Saccharomyces cerevisiae S288C: one gene and its partner. Changing the gene in region 2 together with the main gene of any one other region gives a genetic interaction. Each region holds a gene or a part of one and is shown on either strand. Other genes may lie near its edges.

Region 1 (7,688 bases), on a different chromosome or scaffold from region 2:
GCCTCAAGTCGTGTTCTGAAAATCCACCGGGGAACTTGATAGAGGTTGGATATACCCAGCCGCTTTCCTTATCTGTACTCGTAGCACGGAACCTAACATGACGTTTTGGGCTCTGCACAGAAGAACCAATAGATATCAGTTTGTTTTTTTCAGTAATTGACCAAACTGTTACGGTGACGTTATCATGATCTCGAGGAGTAGTGAATTCAATTGCTAAAACAGAGTAGTTTTCGCTCTGAAAACATAGGAAATTCCATTTACTGGCTGCTTTATTCGGCAAAAGACCTTGAACAGCGTCCAGATAAACGACAGGAACATCAGTTAATGAAATATTTTTATTTTGAAAGTCCCCACTATTGAGTTTTTTATCGTAGGAAATATTACCATTACATTTACCTCTGGGCACAAAAACATGTCTGATCATTTTGTCTGAGGAAACGAATTCGTCACTCATCGAGATTTGTTTGTCAAAATAATAATTGCAACCGTTGGGGTTCATCTTAAAACCTTGAAACAAATCCACCAACAAATCGATTTTCAAATTTTGAATTGTATTGTTACATGTTGGTAAATCACATTTGATAGATAACTGGCCAATGGAACCTAATTTTTCATTTTTGTTGCTCAAAAATTCAAAAATAACATTTCTAGAGACAAACTTTAATGGTTGAAATTCAGCTATGTCATCCAATTTAAAACTTTCCCAAACGTCGTAGTCAGTATTATTACTTTCTGAGCCAAAAACCTTGAAATTCAATTGGAAGCCTTTATAGATACCACCCATAACCGTAGAATACAGTAATTGAACAAATCCACACAAGCCTGTATGCAAATCTGTGAAATATAACGTTTGGGTCTCGACTCTGGTCTCCATCGATTTTTTCATCACTCTGAATAAACCTCTACCACCATCTGTCTTGTTACTTATGGTGTGTTGGTAGCCCGTTTCACTATCATTGTGACAATACCACTCCAATGGTTGGATGTCATTAATAAGAGTATAGTTCTTACTCTTACTTACCGGTTTTTTGTAATCTACCTCTTTAATAGGCGCAAACTTTATCTTATCACTGCTCGATTCAAGCATCACTAAATGAGTCTCTATGTATGTACGATGTATCTTATACGCCCTCACTGTCAAGAAAAGACAATACGAAGTACGGCGGCAATTGTCACTCAAGAAATTTCTTCATTTTTATATGACTATACATCGTAAACTCAAGCCCAGAGAAGTGAGTCTCCAGTAAACACTGTTCGTTATATCCATCACATTTAAAATCCGTAGGCTTAAGATTGCCAAAACATATGCATACAAATTCCAGTAGTAAACATGATTTTGGAATTCACTGTAATAATCTGTGAGACATCTTGGAAACCGGAAGAACAAAGATGAGAAAAAAAAAAAAAAAAAAATAAAAGCCGCATAAACATCGGCTAGACGGAAAAATTAGCATTACGTCTATGACTTAGTTCTCCGAAAAAAATACAAGCCGTGTGGGGTGATTACGCCGTACCCTTCTTTTCGCGTTATTCCAACAGGTCGTACAGAACTATCAGTATTTGGAACGATATACTTATTTATCGTCTTTTCGCGTTTTGGCCGAGGGAAATATTGCTTTTGTTGCGGAAAAGAGTATCACGGCACAGCATCGGCCTTCCTAGTTGTTTACTTACTAAAAAAGCCTAACTACTCATTTTCCAGTCATTCACTTAAATTGAACTTAGGGGGCTCGTATTCGAAAGTCTTGTTGCAGCCTAGAGGACCAACGACATCGAAGATGTAGTTGCACTTAGTCGCTTCATGTACACTCCGAATCTTGAATTTGTCGCTGCACCGAACAAATACAGTAGCCGATCTGCGCGGACCATTCCAGCACTGGTCTCCATTTTCGTATTCTAGTACCAGACCATTATTCAGTTCGTTTAAGTTCCCGAATACGTAATGTTGCATGTTACCGTCATCGTCCTGTATAGCTGCTAAGTTTGAAATCAAATCACTCTTCTCATCATATGTGGCCTTTAAATGTTCTGCGTATTTTTCCATGTTTAAGTCAACATTAAAACCTGATGTCTTAAAACGACCGATCAAAACTTTTTTACCGTCAACCTTATCCTCAGCTTGATATATGACACCTTCGGTCATTGGACGTTGAAAGCATATAGTGTACACATAGTTGTCCAGTATGTCGTCAAGACAATAGGATTGTGATCCCATTAGTTCTAAAAGCTCAGTCAGATTTCCTGCAGTAGAATTAGTTCCTTCATCTTCAGTTTCATCTAATAATTTCTTATAGTCCATTTTTTGCTTTAATTCATTCTCCAGGAGACTGACTTGACTTTCACAAGAGCGGAATCTCTTCTCTAATGAGACCAAATCTTTTCTAGATGAAAAAATATTCAGCTTAGATAGAATCTCTTTGAGTTTATTGCGCAAATCTCCAGAAGTACCGATATGATCGCTGTTCGTATCTTGTTCTGACTCAACAGCGTCTGGTGGCAATACCTTTGGTGCATTCTCGTTCACAAATGATGTTACTTCGCTCAACGATCTCAAAAGGCTCTCTGACGGGTGAGCTGGTTCTAATTCAGCCAGTTCGCCGTATTCACCTAGGTAGTTTTTATACGAATCGACAGCACTTTTGACCCCTGCATCTTGAAAGTTAACATTGTAATTCTGAGAAATATCATCCATAATCAAACGGAATTCTCTGATATACTCCAAGATATCGTTGGTATAGTTAATTTTACCCTCCACTAGCGCTTGAACAAAATTGGATTTTCCTATGACGTACCTCAACGTGTTCTCAGATTCTCTTTTCAAAAAAATTTGAGGTACTTCTTCTGTAAAGTACAAGTAAAGATTATCTGCCTGCTCATCATCAATTTTGCTATCTGCATTAATTTTAGCCTTTTCAGCCCGTCTTCTAACTTTTCTGAATTTTTTAATATTATCATTGACAACTTTATCATTTAGCGAGGGAGTATAGGCCTCTGATAAATCACTTAAAATCTTGAATATGTCCTGGTAACCTTTACTTACTCTTGAAACCATAGTGAACGATGTAAGGATGTCCGATCCCAAACGAGTACTGTTTAATTGTTCAAATTGATACAAAATGGGATCATGGCTTAATTGGTTAAAGTACTCGCCTCTCAACTGCTCTAATTTGGCTCGATTTTCTGAGAGCCTGTTGGAGAGTACTTTTATCTCGGCAGAAGCTTTTTCCTTATCTTCTTCTAAGCAATTACCACGGGTGATAGCCTCTTCCTTTGTACCGTATTTTCTTTCCAGTTCTTCTAGGGCCTCTTTACCTTCCCGGTAACTTGATAACTCTTTAGAGGCCATAATGTCAAATTCGTTTTTTAACTGAGAACAATTAGATCCAGCATCAAAGAGCTCATATCCAGAAAGTAGCTCGTCAGAACAGTCACAGCAGTCACAAATACCATCTGCGACTTCCGATTTTCGTATATATCTTGGAATAAACCCCTTGTTATCACAATAAAAATACTTATTCACTTTACCACCTCCCTCTGCAACGCTTTTGAATATATCTTCCACGCAGGCGGCGCTGCCGGGCTCATCTGAACCATCAGGACAATCACAAACCCCATCATTAATCTGGCTTATATCCAATACGATATCTTCGTGGTTCAAACAGTGCCATTTAGTCAAATCTGGTTCATTCGAGTCATACAAGTGCTGCTTTTCCCAGGGAACACCCACTATATGCCGTTGACTTTGTTGCAATGACGCTACAAGCGGCGATTGCTCAATTAATAGCAGAAATAATGAGAACATGCTCACCATAGCGAATCTTCTTAATGAAATAGCAGAAGTGCCTTTATGCTTCTTAAATGCAGTGCGGAAGCCTCTGCTTCTACCATAACATCTTCCAACACAGTCTTCATACACTATTATTATTCATTTTATGGCCGGGTAAGTATTTTAAAAGGCATTGGCAATACCCGTTTTGTTTTGACCCAAACAACTGTTTATCATTATTCCTGGTGCTGTCTTCTTAGAAACTATAAACGCTTGTGCACCTACCCAGTATTTAACCAGTTGGGAGGAGATAACAATATTTACTTACTTTTTCACAAAATAGGAAAAGGAAAGTTATACTTTGCTATAGTTTAAACAAAGGGAAAGTTTTCAAATAACCAAGGAGTCTCTGTTACTACTTGCTAAATATCCTCATACAAAATATCAAAACAAATTGGCCAAACTGCACAAGGAAAGTTCACTTTTGTTCCAGAATTAGTTATAGTTCCTTCAACCACATAGATGACATTATTTTCTTGTAGTGTACAGATGCCGCTGGAGGAAAGGTCCCTGACAAACTTACCATTAAACCTATTGTTCCGAATATTGTCTCACCTGGATATGAATGATTTACAAAACATAGGGAAAACTTGCACCTTGCTAAGGATGCTGGCGAATGAGAACATTGTTTACAGAAATGCTGTTATCGGCTCAAACGGGAATATGTGGTGGACAAAAAATGTTCTTGTTGATGTCTTTGATGTTTTGAATTTTAATAGAAAGGCAATGAAAACCTTAAATAGTCACAACATATCCCTGGTCGCATCATTAAGAAATGTTCAGCGGAAATATAAACTAGGCGTTATTGATCCGGCTAGAAAGACAATAAGTTATAGAACAAATGAAGTTGAGAGCAAAGAAAAGGGCTCTGTGAAAGATTTAAATATGGATTTGAACGAACCTACAGAAATAACAAGGGAGCAAATCGCTCATACTGCAATACTACAAGGAATGAATCAATTCATCGAACTCAATGATAAAGCATTTAGGACCCATTCAGCGGATTCTGATGATACATACATAGAGGAGAATAATGGAGAAATACATTCTCTCCACGGATTGGAAAAAAATACAACATTTGAAGAAGACTTAGTCAAAAAGCCACCTTTTATCCCTTCTCCGACATTTTCTAATTATTCTAGAAGTTCAACAAATTCTGTATTTTCAAGTTCATCGCCCAAACTACTGGACGATGATTGGAATAATATTACAATGGATTTCACTAAGTCACGAGATCCTGATTATAAAGAGATGACGCCTACATCTACTGAATCGTCTGACTCAATCACAAGATTGAGAAAATCTAATAAAGTCAAGGATAAAGCCGAACTTTTTGAGAAGTTAATTTTTAGAGATAGCAGACCATTAAAAACAAAGAAAAAGGACAATCCAAGATTGAAATTATCCAGTTCGTTAAGTGCTAATGACGAAGATTTTAGGAAAATCATAAGTCCCCCTTCTGACATACTACCGAAAGTTGGCAGAAGGAGCGTCTCAAGAGGTTATTTAGAGGAGATTGAAAGGCATTATCCCGATTTTAACGGTGAAACAACTAATCCTCTAGCAATTAAAAGAGTCAACAGTACAAAGATAGCAAATTATGAACAATTAATTATAAAAGAAAATAGCTCGAACTGTAAAGGAATAACAGAGAAAAATGATGAAAATAAATTTCAAAGAAGTCACACTTCCCCAGTAATAGAATTATCCAAACCTCATCAAAGAAGCAAATTAAAGGCGGTTGTTACAGACGGTAATAAGATATGCTATCGCAAAATCGAATTGGATAACCCTAGTGGGTCGAATACGAATGATCATGTAATCAAACGGCTTGACGCTAATACCGATTTTAATATATAACAGAAAACGCCTCAAACCGACTTTGCTTGGAAGAGTTTTCTCTGAATTAGCAACGGAACTTCGAAATGGTTTTAGACAAGCATGCATGGTATGTAGAAACAGTTAAAGAGCGCCGCTACCATTTGCACAGATGTACATATAAATAAATGACTTATTTTTTATATTCTATCAATAATAAGACAATTTGTGGTTGCCTTTAGAAATTTCGTGGCTTTTTTTCATATATTCTAACTTCAATAAAGTTTTTTTGATGCGAAATTTGATCGCTCATATTAAGGACGCCTGAAAAAGACATGCGTCTACATTTTGTGTCATTCCCATAAGAATAGTAAGAACAGGCATTTTTATAAATCGATACAAAAAAAGAGCTACTATACGTACATAAAGTCAGTAAATAATCAAATGTTCCCAATGAAAGATCACTCAGCTCTTGAACAACATACTCTCAGCAGAGATGAGTTAAGACGTCGCAAGGGTTACAAGAAAGGACTGCAGTTGTCAATTTTGTTACTTGGAGAAAAAGGCAGCGGCAAATCAACGTTTTTAAACAATCTGTGCGGTCAGGATATATCGCTTTCTGATGGGGATTATGATGATGATGATGATAAAGTGACAAATAATGTAACACCAGAAAATGGAAACGCCATCGAAGATATAGATCCTGGATATAAAACAGCCCATTTGAGTCCTGGGCTGAAGCTTGTCACCAGAAGAGTGTATTTGAACGATGAACTAGGCGTACCCATAACATTAGATATCATATTGTTTCCAGGCTGCGGTGACAATGTCGACAATTCACAAAGCTCTGTTGTTATAAAAAACTACTTAGACCAACAGTTTGCAAATGTTTTAAAAGAAGAGGTCAGAATAAAGAGAAACACAAAAGAAACTGATGGGAGGCCTCATGTTTGTTTATACTTTCTGAAGAGTACTCCAAGAGGAGTCAAAAAATTTGATATTGAGTTAATGAAAACGATTTGTGATAAAGTTAATTTAATTCCCATTATTCCAAAAGCCGATGGTCTCACAGAAACTGAATTAAATTTACACAAAGACATTGTGCGCCAAGAAATCTCTCAGAACAATATACGTGTTTTTGATTTTAAAAGTGACACCCTAGGCGAAACATTAGCTCTGTACGATATGGACATCGATTCCAGTTCAGCAAAATCCAAATACGATAATGACACGAAGATCAAGGAAATATCGCCATTTGCCATTGTTTGCAGCAAAACTTTTAATAAAAATTCGGAAAATAGGGTTGAGCATATCAGAACGTACGAATGGGGTAGCTTGGTGGTCGAAGACCAAAACACCTCCGATTTTATATACTTAAAAGCAATACTGTTAGGTTCTCACCTTCAGGAATTAAAAGATGTAACAAACAACGTATTGTATGAAAATTATAGGGCTAAAGTGTTAACTGAGAAGAAAAACAACTATGATATTCCAAACTATAGCTATATCGACGAAACCTCAAGGGGAAGTGTCAGCAATGTTTCCACCAGAAGAAATAGTGCAAGTAGAACACTTGGGAATCCAGATACAAACGATGAAAATGCTTATCAAATACACAAAGAAATAGACGAAAAAAACAGAATTATTGAAGACTATCAAAGGAAGATTGATTTATTGGAGAAAATGTTGGCAGCTCCCCATCAAAATAAGGTCTAAATAAATATACGGCCTTGTTAGCGTTAGATACATATGAAATAAAATTTTATTGCTTTTTCAAGTGCACTAAAGTATAAGGCAAAATTTTTTTAATCTATAATATACTTTCTCGATGTGTCTCTATATAACCTTGTGTCTTTCTTATTACTGGCACGGCTTTGAATTTTCAGAGTGCAGTTCTGATTAAACACGCGAGGATTTTTGTTCGTGGATATTTGCAACGATGAGCAATGTGAAGTGAGCAAGATAGAGAAACGCCATAGAAAAGAGCATAGTGAGAAAATCTTCAACATCAGGGCTATGTCAGGCCAGTTAGTTCAATGGAAAA
Region 2 (11,365 bases):
TTTTTATTTTTTTTCCCTTCTTTGTTTTTGTTTTGCTTATTCCCATCTTCATTATTAAATTCTTCCGCTCTTAATAAAGGAGTTTTTTTATTATCTTCTTGTGTAATCATCCTTTTTCTTTAATTTTCTTCCTTTTCTTTTTCTCTTTACTGGTTTTTTTACTTCTTTATTCTCAACCATCTAAAGAATATTATTGCTTTCTACCAATAAAATCTGTTAATTCTATTTGGATTGTCGTCTACTCAAGTCTCGCCTAGTAAATAAACGATAAACAAATTTGAAGTAAGAATAACAATATAGGGAGAGAAATTTTTCTATTTTTAATTTCGAAACAGGTACCAAAAAATCTAAGTTCACTTTAGCACTATTTGGGAAAGCTTTTATATAAAAAATCTGAAACAAAATCATATCAAAGATGCAATCTCAAGATTCATGCTACGGTGTTGCATTCAGATCTATCATCACAAATGATGAAGCTTTATTCAAGAAGACCATTCACTTTTATCACACTCTAGGATTTGCAACTGTGAAAGATTTCAACAAATTCAAACATGGTGAAAATAGCTTACTATCTTCAGGGACTTCCCAAGATTCCTTGAGAGAAGTTTGGTTAGAATCTTTCAAGTTGAGTGAGGTTGATGCTTCTGGGTTCCGTATACCACAACAAGAAGCTACTAACAAGGCTCAAAGTCAAGGTGCTCTATTAAAGATTCGTTTAGTGATGTCTGCTCCAATCGATGAAACTTTCGACACCAACGAAACCGCCACAATCACTTATTTCTCTACTGATTTGAACAAGATTGTCGAGAAATTCCCAAAACAAGCCGAAAAATTGTCCGATACCTTAGTGTTTTTGAAAGATCCAATGGGCAACAACATCACCTTCTCAGGCTTAGCTAATGCAACCGATTCCGCTCCAACTTCCAAAGATGCTTTCTTAGAAGCTACCTCCGAAGACGAAATCATCTCTAGAGCTTCTTCCGATGCTTCTGACTTACTAAGACAAACATTGGGCTCTTCTCAAAAGAAGAAGAAGATTGCTGTCATGACTTCTGGTGGTGATTCTCCAGGTATGAATGCCGCTGTTCGTGCCGTTGTTCGTACAGGTATACATTTCGGCTGTGATGTTTTTGCTGTTTACGAAGGTTACGAAGGTTTACTAAGAGGCGGTAAATATTTAAAGAAAATGGCTTGGGAAGATGTCAGAGGTTGGTTAAGTGAAGGTGGTACTTTGATTGGTACTGCTCGTTCTATGGAATTCAGAAAGCGTGAGGGTCGTAGACAAGCTGCAGGCAATTTAATTTCGCAAGGTATTGACGCTTTGGTTGTTTGTGGTGGTGATGGTTCTTTAACCGGTGCTGATCTTTTCAGACACGAATGGCCATCTTTGGTTGATGAATTGGTTGCAGAAGGTAGATTCACTAAAGAAGAAGTCGCCCCATACAAGAATTTGTCCATTGTTGGTCTTGTCGGTTCCATCGATAATGATATGTCTGGTACTGACTCTACCATTGGTGCTTATTCTGCTTTGGAAAGAATCTGTGAAATGGTTGACTACATTGATGCCACCGCTAAATCCCACTCCCGTGCCTTTGTTGTTGAAGTTATGGGTAGACATTGTGGTTGGTTGGCCTTGATGGCTGGTATTGCTACCGGTGCCGATTACATTTTTATTCCAGAAAGAGCTGTTCCTCACGGAAAATGGCAGGACGAATTGAAGGAAGTGTGCCAAAGACACAGAAGTAAGGGTAGAAGAAATAACACAATTATTGTCGCTGAAGGTGCTTTAGATGATCAATTAAACCCTGTTACTGCCAATGACGTCAAAGATGCTTTGATTGAATTGGGTCTAGACACCAAGGTAACCATTCTAGGTCACGTTCAAAGAGGTGGTACAGCTGTTGCTCATGACAGATGGTTAGCTACTCTACAAGGTGTCGATGCTGTTAAGGCCGTTCTGGAATTTACCCCTGAAACTCCTTCTCCATTAATTGGTATTTTAGAAAACAAGATAATTAGAATGCCATTGGTTGAATCTGTGAAGTTGACTAAATCTGTTGCCACTGCCATTGAAAACAAAGATTTCGATAAGGCAATTTCTTTAAGAGACACAGAATTTATTGAACTTTACGAAAACTTCTTATCCACTACCGTTAAAGATGATGGTTCCGAATTATTGCCAGTATCTGACAGACTAAACATTGGTATTGTCCATGTTGGTGCCCCATCTGCTGCTTTGAACGCTGCCACCCGTGCCGCAACTCTATACTGTTTGTCTCACGGCCATAAACCATACGCTATCATGAATGGTTTCAGTGGATTGATTCAAACCGGTGAAGTGAAGGAACTATCATGGATTGATGTCGAAAACTGGCATAACTTGGGTGGTTCCGAAATCGGTACGAACAGATCTGTTGCTTCAGAAGATTTGGGTACCATTGCTTACTACTTCCAAAAGAACAAGCTAGACGGTTTGATTATTCTTGGTGGTTTTGAAGGTTTCAGGTCCTTGAAGCAATTGCGTGACGGTAGAACCCAACACCCAATCTTTAACATTCCAATGTGTTTGATTCCAGCCACTGTTTCTAACAACGTTCCAGGTACTGAATACTCACTTGGTGTTGATACCTGTTTGAACGCATTAGTCAATTACACTGATGACATCAAACAGAGTGCTTCTGCGACAAGAAGAAGAGTCTTCGTCTGTGAAGTCCAAGGTGGTCACTCTGGTTACATCGCTTCTTTCACTGGTTTAATCACTGGTGCTGTTTCAGTGTACACTCCAGAAAAGAAGATCGACTTAGCTTCTATCAGAGAAGATATAACTCTATTAAAAGAGAACTTTCGTCACGACAAAGGTGAAAACAGAAACGGTAAGCTATTGGTTAGAAACGAACAAGCTTCTAGCGTATATAGCACTCAATTGTTGGCTGACATCATCTCTGAAGCAAGCAAGGGTAAGTTTGGTGTTAGAACTGCTATCCCAGGCCATGTTCAACAAGGTGGTGTTCCATCTTCTAAAGACCGTGTCACCGCTTCCAGATTTGCTGTCAAATGTATCAAGTTTATCGAACAATGGAACAAGAAAAATGAAGCTTCTCCAAACACTGACGCTAAGGTTTTGAGATTCAAGTTCGATACTCACGGTGAAAAGGTACCAACTGTTGAGCACGAAGATGACTCTGCTGCTGTTATCTGTGTTAATGGTTCTCACGTTTCCTTCAAGCCAATTGCTAACCTTTGGGAAAACGAAACCAACGTTGAATTAAGAAAGGGTTTTGAAGTTCACTGGGCTGAATACAACAAGATTGGTGACATCCTGTCCGGTAGATTAAAGTTGAGAGCTGAGGTAGCCGCTTTAGCCGCTGAAAACAAATGAATGATTGCAATGAAAAGTTTAAGTTAAGCAAAAGGAGGTAAAAATGGCATGCACTTTAATTTTTATACAATCGTTTTTTTGTCATAAGACTTATTTATGTATCTGTTGTTTTTCTTTTTCTATCCTCTATTTTTGTCTATTTGTCTTTGTTTTACTCTTTTTCATTATTATTTCTTTATATAATTTTTGTACGATATGATACACATAACAATGAGCAATGAACATATTTCTAATCCTAACCATTAGATATACTTTTCAACTGAGGAATAATGGCGCCTTGATTAAACTAAGCTATGGAATTTGCATTATTCAAGTTTTAGGGTGTGCTTAATCTGCGTTGACAATGGTTCACGAAGACGACATCGGCAACTTTGCTGTACTACAAATTGCTCTGAATGTGAGGCTGATCCACATCATAGTGAGGCGCGCTACCTTAATTGTAGTCGTATTGTCATCGGTCTACGAATACCGTTTGGTTTATTTGTCGGCCTTTTTTCTTTCCGTTTCTTTTTATCTTTCCGCTGGAAAAATGGAAACTAGTGCCGATAATCGGAGATGGGATGACTAAATATTTCTTTAAGGCATTGGCAATGTTCAAACCTCTGATAGAACGGCAGATATATATTTAAGAGAATATAGTCAAGGTTGACGCCGCATACTTTGGTTTTGTTTCAAAAAGAAACAGGTGAAAAATTATAAAGACCAAACTAGAATACCATGCCCAGTGTCTGCCATACAAGCCCGATAGAAAAGATTATCCAACAAGGGCATCGCATACAGAATGATTCCTTAATACCGTCAAAACGCACCAAGCTGGCCCATACGGAATTAACAGCACACTATGCCACTGAAGACTCGCATGTGGAAAAACACTTTTTGCATAATGGTAGTAATTTTGACGGCATTGACAATGTAAGGTATCAAAATCAACCCTCTCCATTAACCTTCATTACTCCAAACAACACTGTAGATTCCAGTGATTGGGTTCCGCAGTTCTCGTCTATGAAGATTGACGATTCACTAGAGTTTAGCTCAGAATATAAAAGGTTGTATTCCAATTACGAGTCACAGCAGCGCCTGAATTCAAGCAGACAACACTTACCTTTTAAGAATTGTATGATAAGGAAGACAAGTTGCACTTACCCACCTCAAAAGACGCTTCGACAGCAACGCCAAGGAAACCGGGACAACCCAACGGATGCGTTTCAATTCGACGCGGAGTTCCAAGTTTTGGAGAGAGAAATTCAAAAAGAGCGGTACGAGCCCATAACACGTCGGGACGAGAAATGGTTCGACCAAGATCAGTCGGAACTGCAAAGGATTGCCACAGATATAGTAAAATGCTGTACTCCACCGCCTTCGTCTGCATCCTCCTCTTCTACTCTTTCCTCCTCTGTCGAATCAAAACTATCTGAGTCGAAGTTTATTCAGTTAATGAGAAACATTAGTAGCGGTGACGTGACTTTAAAGAAAAATGCAGATGGAAATTCCGCAAGCGAGTTATTCTCATCCAACAACGGGGAACTGGTCGGAAACAGGCACATTTTCGTCAAGGACGAAATTCACAAAGACATACTTGATTGATATAGGCAGTTTCTACAATTGTACCTCTTGTAACTACTACATACGTTGATATATGTTTACAGATAGCTAAGAATATCAAAATCATGAATATGTGCCCTTATGTGTTCTCTGCGCTGAGGAGTATCGCAGCTTCACTCCTGCAGATGCATGCCCTACCTACTGTCATGCCCATCTCTCTCGTTTAAAACTTACTACACCTTTTTTGTGCATGGATTGTGCTGATGTAAGCTGCACGAAATGACACGCTTGTGAATTTTTTCTTCTCTTGGGAGAAACTGTGAAGAAAAAAAAAAAAGCTTCGCAAAACCCGAATTAGTCTCGAAGGAAGTAATTACCTTGTGAAAGGGTCTTTTGGGATACTAATTTATTATGAAGTTTGGTTTTGGTGTTGCTTGCTCTTTTTTTTTTCAATTTTGAAATGCGTACACGTGAATTTTAGCATAGGTTGTAACAAAAAAAAAAAATGATTTGGATGAGGCAGGCAACCCCTTAAGTAGCTATGGTACCTTTCAAGCTGACAAATAAGGTACCTACGGACACGGGACCTTCTCTGATTTCAGCGCAAAGTGTACCCAGACCAATAGTTTTTATGGATAATCGAAACAATACGCGAATAGTAACACCTACGCTACCTCCAAACCAGCATAGAGGCATATCAGGCGCGTCGACTGCTCTTCCCTGGTCTCCAGAGAGTAAGAATACAGGGAAGTATATTTGGAATAGGGTCAAACTAAAAAACTCTCCGTTTCCCCGTTATCGACACTCTTCCTCATTTATTGTTACGAATGATAACAGGATTTTTGTGACCGGTGGACTTCACGATCAATCGGTATATGGGGATGTCTGGCAAATAGCCGCTAACGCGGATGGTACGAGCTTTACTTCCAAGAGAATCGATATTGATCAAAATACACCTCCCCCAAGAGTGGGACATGCCTCTACTATATGCGGTAATGCCTATGTTGTGTTTGGTGGCGACACACACAAGCTGAATAAGAACGGACTGTTGGATGATGATCTTTATCTTTTCAATATTAATTCTTATAAGTGGACCATACCACAACCTATCGGCCGTAGGCCGTTGGGCAGGTACGGCCATAAAATTTCTATAATTGCTAGCAACCCTATGCAAACTAAACTATATCTTTTTGGCGGACAAGTAGATGAAACTTATTTTAACGATCTGGTCGTCTTTGATTTATCATCATTCCGTAGGCCGAATTCTCATTGGGAATTTTTAGAGCCTGTCGGCGACCTGCCTCCTCCTTTAACAAATCATACAATGGTGGCATATGACAACAAATTATGGGTATTCGGCGGGGAAACTCCCAAGACAATAAGCAATGATACATACCGCTACGATCCAGCACAAAGTGAGTGGTCTAAAGTTAAAACCACAGGAGAAAAGCCTCCGCCAATACAAGAGCATGCTAGTGTGGTGTATAAACATTTAATGTGTGTGTTAGGCGGTAAGGATACCCATAACGCATATTCCAACGATGTCTATTTTTTAAACTTATTATCGCTAAAATGGTATAAGCTTCCCCGTATGAAGGAGGGCATACCTCAAGAACGCTCTGGACATTCTTTAACCTTAATGAAGAATGAGAAGCTTCTTATCATGGGTGGCGACAAAACTGACTATGCCAGCCCAAATATTCACGATCTACAAACTTCAGAAACTGACCAAGGCGAAGGAACTTTACTGTATACCTTAGATTTATCATCTTTGAATGAGCTATGCCCAGGAATAATGTGTGAATCACTACATGCAGGAGAAAGTTTTTCTAATAGTCTTTCCGGGGGCTTTACACCCTCTAAGTCTACCGAAAGTGAAAATCAAGAGATAATAAACATTCTTACACCAAGATTGCCTGATAGCAAAGTTTTGAGTTATAATGATATTGATGAAGGGGCTGGAAGTTACTCCAGCGCTTTGGATGATAAGGCATTTGAACGAAAATCAGATAGGGAGGAAAAGAAACCCCAATCTTCCAAAGTTGATTCAAGCATCAATAAGGAAAGTCCGGGAACTGGTATCAAAGTATCTAAAAAAAATTTCCCTGTTCTACGAGGACTAACAGTGGATTCAGAAGAGTATGGCTCTTCTTCATATAAGGACACATCATGTCAAAAAGGAATTCCCAAAAATCTTTTTGATGATTTAAACCTGAACCTACAAACATTACGTCTCGAAGCTCAACAAAAGGAACTTGAAACTGCTAGACATATTTCACAATTAGAAAAGGAAGTCCAGAGACTCATGGTAATAAAAGAAGCTTCAAAAGATTCAAATTTTCAAACAGCACGGCTTAAAAATCTAGAAATTCAGAAAACCTTTTTAGAATCTAGAATTAATGATTTAAAAAATTTATTGATGGTCAAATTATCTCAGGCAAGTAAACTCTGTGACCAAATTACGATTCAAAATAATGGACTTAAAACATGCTCCGAACATGTCACTATTAAAAGGGATATCATCGATCTTGAGAATAAATGTGATGTTTTGAAGCGCCAGAACGAAATACTTGTAAATAATATGCAAAAAATAACCCCCGAACTTCATACCTATTTGAACGAATCGTCCTGCTATCTGGGTAAATTATTAAAAAGCTATCCTACCAGTGCACGGCCACCTTCAAGTGAGAAAGATAATCAAATATATGAGAAAGATTCGCTGAACAAAATAGAAAAAGTAATAAATGAAATGCACGAAACCGTGCGTGCTAAAGAGAAATTGCACCTTGAAACTCAGAAGCTTAATGATGAAAGAGATTCTTTGCGGGCTAATTTACTCGACAATAACAACAAGTTGGATGCGCTAAGAAAACTCTCTGATGGAAGCTCGAAGTCTATGGACCTAACAAAGAAGGCTATTCACCTATCACAATCCGAGCTCGAAAAATATCGTAAAAACAACGACGATTTACAGAAGGAGATTGATAGAATTAAAACTGAACAAGCTGAACAGGATGACAAGCAGGAACAGCGTGGCGCCATCACTCATGGAAATTTTGATGCGTTCCACAGAATGAAAATCAACAATCTGAAAGCGGAACTGTATATGTCGAAAGAAAATAGAGATTCCCTCAAGGACGAACTGCTAGCTTTAAAAAAAAAACTATATACTCTCGAACAAAAAAAATAGTCATTGGAAGACGTTGTTACGCACTGGGAAGTCAATATGTACAAAGTATATAAAAATATATTTAAACACCTATAAGGACATTGTAAACATTAAGTATTAATAGAAGGAGAATATAATTGCCAACTAAGCCTTTTGAGGTTAATATTCAATGGTGCAAAATTAGTAGCCGCGGTTATTATTATTCGCCGGGTAAAGAGCCCGCTTTTCTAGGGGGATTTTAGGTGAGCATGCCTCTAGAAAGCCAGAAGGACCCTTAACGAAGCGAAACTGTTCAGAAGAATGAATAAAAAGACACATTGAAAAAAAGAATATTGTCGCACTGTACATAAGGGAGAAGCTGTAATCCCTGGCAAACTGCTAATATCTAATAAAAATAATAGAAGATGTCATCTGCAAAGACATTTACTAAGCATATCTCGTTTGATGATCTGGCACCTTCCTTAATTGATGACCAAGCTACCATTATTAAAAATGACAGTCACCATGTTGGCTTGAATAATCATTTTTTACATATACCTCCACAATTTAATCCTGTTTACAAAAATACTTTGACCGGTAGCCATGGCTCTAATGACCTTGCCACTGACGAAAGCTTGGACTCACCCGAAGACGAAGAAGCTTCTTCGCCACTACAACTAGGAACTCCAACGTCTACAACATCTGGAGTTCCTCACTTCTATACTCAGGTATTTTCTCCTGCAGCACATGATCCCTCCAAAAGCTATTTGAGATCGCCCAGCGTTGAAAGAAGTAGAAGTGAGTCTCCAATGTTCAGGTCAAGAAGAAGGACTTCAGTGAGGTTGCCTCCCCCTCCAAAAGTATCCGTGCTAAAAAAATCTCGAAAAGCTGCTGATGAACAGGGCCCTATTGATGATATTGATATTGGTGATTTGGATTTTGAGCTGGAAAGAAAAATGACCAAAATGACCGAAAGAAACACTCAAAAAAATTCTGGATCAAGGAAAGGCTATACGCAAGCTGCATTTGCCAATCTTAATGAAGTTGAAGATAGAATTGAGACCAAGTCAATGGTAGATTTATCCGAAAGCGAAAATATGGAGAGCTCAAAGAAAAGGTCCAAGTCGTTTGCCGGGATGACAGACGAAGAATTAGCCAAATTAGAGGAATTTTATATAAGTAAAGGAAGATCGAACAAGACTAAAATAGATCAATTTGATTTTGGTGAGCAAGTTCCAGTCTATTTGAACACAACAGAGTCAAAAACGGATTCAAGCAACGTGACGGACCCTTTAGCAGCAATTTATCCATCAAGGCCTACAATTGTTCACAATGCAATTTCAATGACAATTGATCATCCAGACTATGAAAATTATATTTCCAATACAAAAGAAAAGCTCAATTGCAAAGACAAAGATGACGATGTAGATTTAAGAGTTGTTTCGTGTTATATATCAGGTAGGAGATATACTTGGTCATCTGTGGACTGGTATGTTGAAAATTTGACAAGAAATGGTGATCATTTAGTCATAATTACTACAATTCCTGAGTTTGAAGCAAAGATTGATACTCTAGCATATAAGGAGAAAAGAAGGCACCGCTTAGAAAGGATGACTAGCAATACTAGTGAAAGCATGACTACCGCGTCACATAGCCTTATAGGCCCGGATCTCTCTAGTCCTTTATCAACGGGAATAAGAATAGAAGCTATTCATAATGAGGCTAAGCAAACTTGTAGCGATATTTTAAATTACTACGCGAGAAGATTGGCAACTAAAATAGTTAGGATTAGTATTGAGATGGTAAAAGAAAATTCAACAAGATCAGCCATAATATCTGCGACCTCTCTGTATAGGCCAAGTTTGCAAGTAATCAGCACCGTTAGTGCCAACATTCAAATCAAGTTTAGAAATGGAAAAGTGAAACTACCATTTTTTTTAATGAAACACTTTGCAATGCCAGCATTTGTTGTCCCATTCGAATTCATCAAGCCTGAGCTTTTAATAAAACCTAGAGTGGATAAAGATGAACAGGACAACAGCGATGATTTGAAAACGGAAGTGAGAAAAAAGGAACGATTGCAATGGCTAAGTGCATTAATCAGGAGAACTTTGGAAAACCCTTTCACAAAACATAAAGTGGTTGATTCGGATGATGAAGAAAGCGATAGTGATGAGTCAGTAACCTCTGTAAATGAGTACTTCCCAATCTCACCTGAAAAAAAGGAAGAAATGGAATTCTTCGATAAGATGGGATATGTTAGACCAAAACCGTCGAGACAAGTACTATTGGATGATAACACTCTTATGAAGTACGACAGTTCTGGCCGAAAGCTAACTCCTATAGAATCGAGAAATTCGAGGCGCAGCTCAAAGCGGAGTTCAAGAATACAATTCAACAATAACGGCATTTATAAAGTAAAGTCCATGGTTGATGACATTTACAACCACGAAACTGCCTCTACGCCTCATATCAAGACAGCACTAAAATGGGACAATGAGGATCCGAAAATGAAGTTCACTTCACATCCAATGAGAAAAACAAAATCCGCAGGGCTATCACCCAGAACATCCTCCACTTCATCTTCTTCAGGACAGAGAAAAGCGCATCACCACCACCATCACCACAACCACGTTTCAAGGACGAAAACTACCGAAAGCACCAAATCAGGCAACAGCAAAAAGGACAGTTCCTCATCCTCAACAAACGACCATCAATTTAAAAGGTCTGAAAAGAAGAAAAAAAGTAAATTTGGCTCGATCTTCAAAAAAGTTTTCGGATGAACCGGATTAATACAAGTAAAATCAGCAAAGATATAGAAGACAAAATAAGCGTGAAAACAATCATAAACCACTCACAACGGGGGTTTTCAGCTGTTACTCCTCCATACATACATTTTGATAAAGATATAATGTTATATTTCTTTTCGTAATTTTGTTTTACTTCGGTTTGCTCTATAGATTTCATCAGCCGCACCGAAAAGGGAGATCAATAAGGTACCCTTTAAAAGGGATAAGAAGCCTACATCACCCCAATAAATGGAGTAATGGCCAGCATTGGATGAAGAGAAGAATTACGGGATACTGGGATAACACTGTTAAAAATGCTTCGCGACGTGAGGGTCTTCTTCATATAAATTGAACTGCCAAATCTCTTTCACATTATCCAGGATAGTTTGGAATGTGTGTTACTGAAGGATCAGAATCAATAAATACAATCAATACAAATATTTAGCGCATAAAATTCAAACAAAGTTTACTGAAATGAAGTTAGATTCAGGAATATACTCAGAGGCA

The links. Genes that interact genetically often act in the same process or in processes that back each other up.
Region 1: mutations in YGR237C (region 2) and SPR28 together harm fitness more than expected from each alone (negative genetic interaction), as found in Saccharomyces cerevisiae (one large-scale study listed by BioGRID).

What each region holds. Positions count from the first base shown.
Region 1 is NC_001136.10:903,453-911,140, reverse strand, and holds SPR28 (septin SPR28), read left to right. Parts: upstream 1-6,088; coding exon 6,089-7,360; downstream 7,361-7,688. Other genes in the region: YDR222W (uncharacterized protein), read right to left, coding at 1-1,087; GTB1 (Gtb1p), read right to left, coding at 1,703-3,811; MFB1 (Mfb1p), read left to right, coding at 4,289-5,686; chromatin-binding protein RAD9, read left to right, coding at 7,661-7,688. UniProt on the Saccharomyces cerevisiae protein: Septins are GTPases involved in cytokinesis that assemble into filaments and form a ring at the cleavage site. May act by recruiting MYO1 and HOF1, a protein involved in septation, to the site of cleavage.
Region 2 is NC_001139.9:962,785-974,149, reverse strand, and holds YGR237C (uncharacterized protein), read left to right. Parts: upstream 1-8,494; coding exon 8,495-10,852; downstream 10,853-11,365. Other genes in the region: PFK1 (6-phosphofructokinase subunit alpha), read left to right, coding at 416-3,379; PEX21 (Pex21p), read left to right, coding at 4,097-4,963; KEL2 (Kel2p), read left to right, coding at 5,463-8,111; SPG1 (Spg1p), read left to right, coding at 11,333-11,365.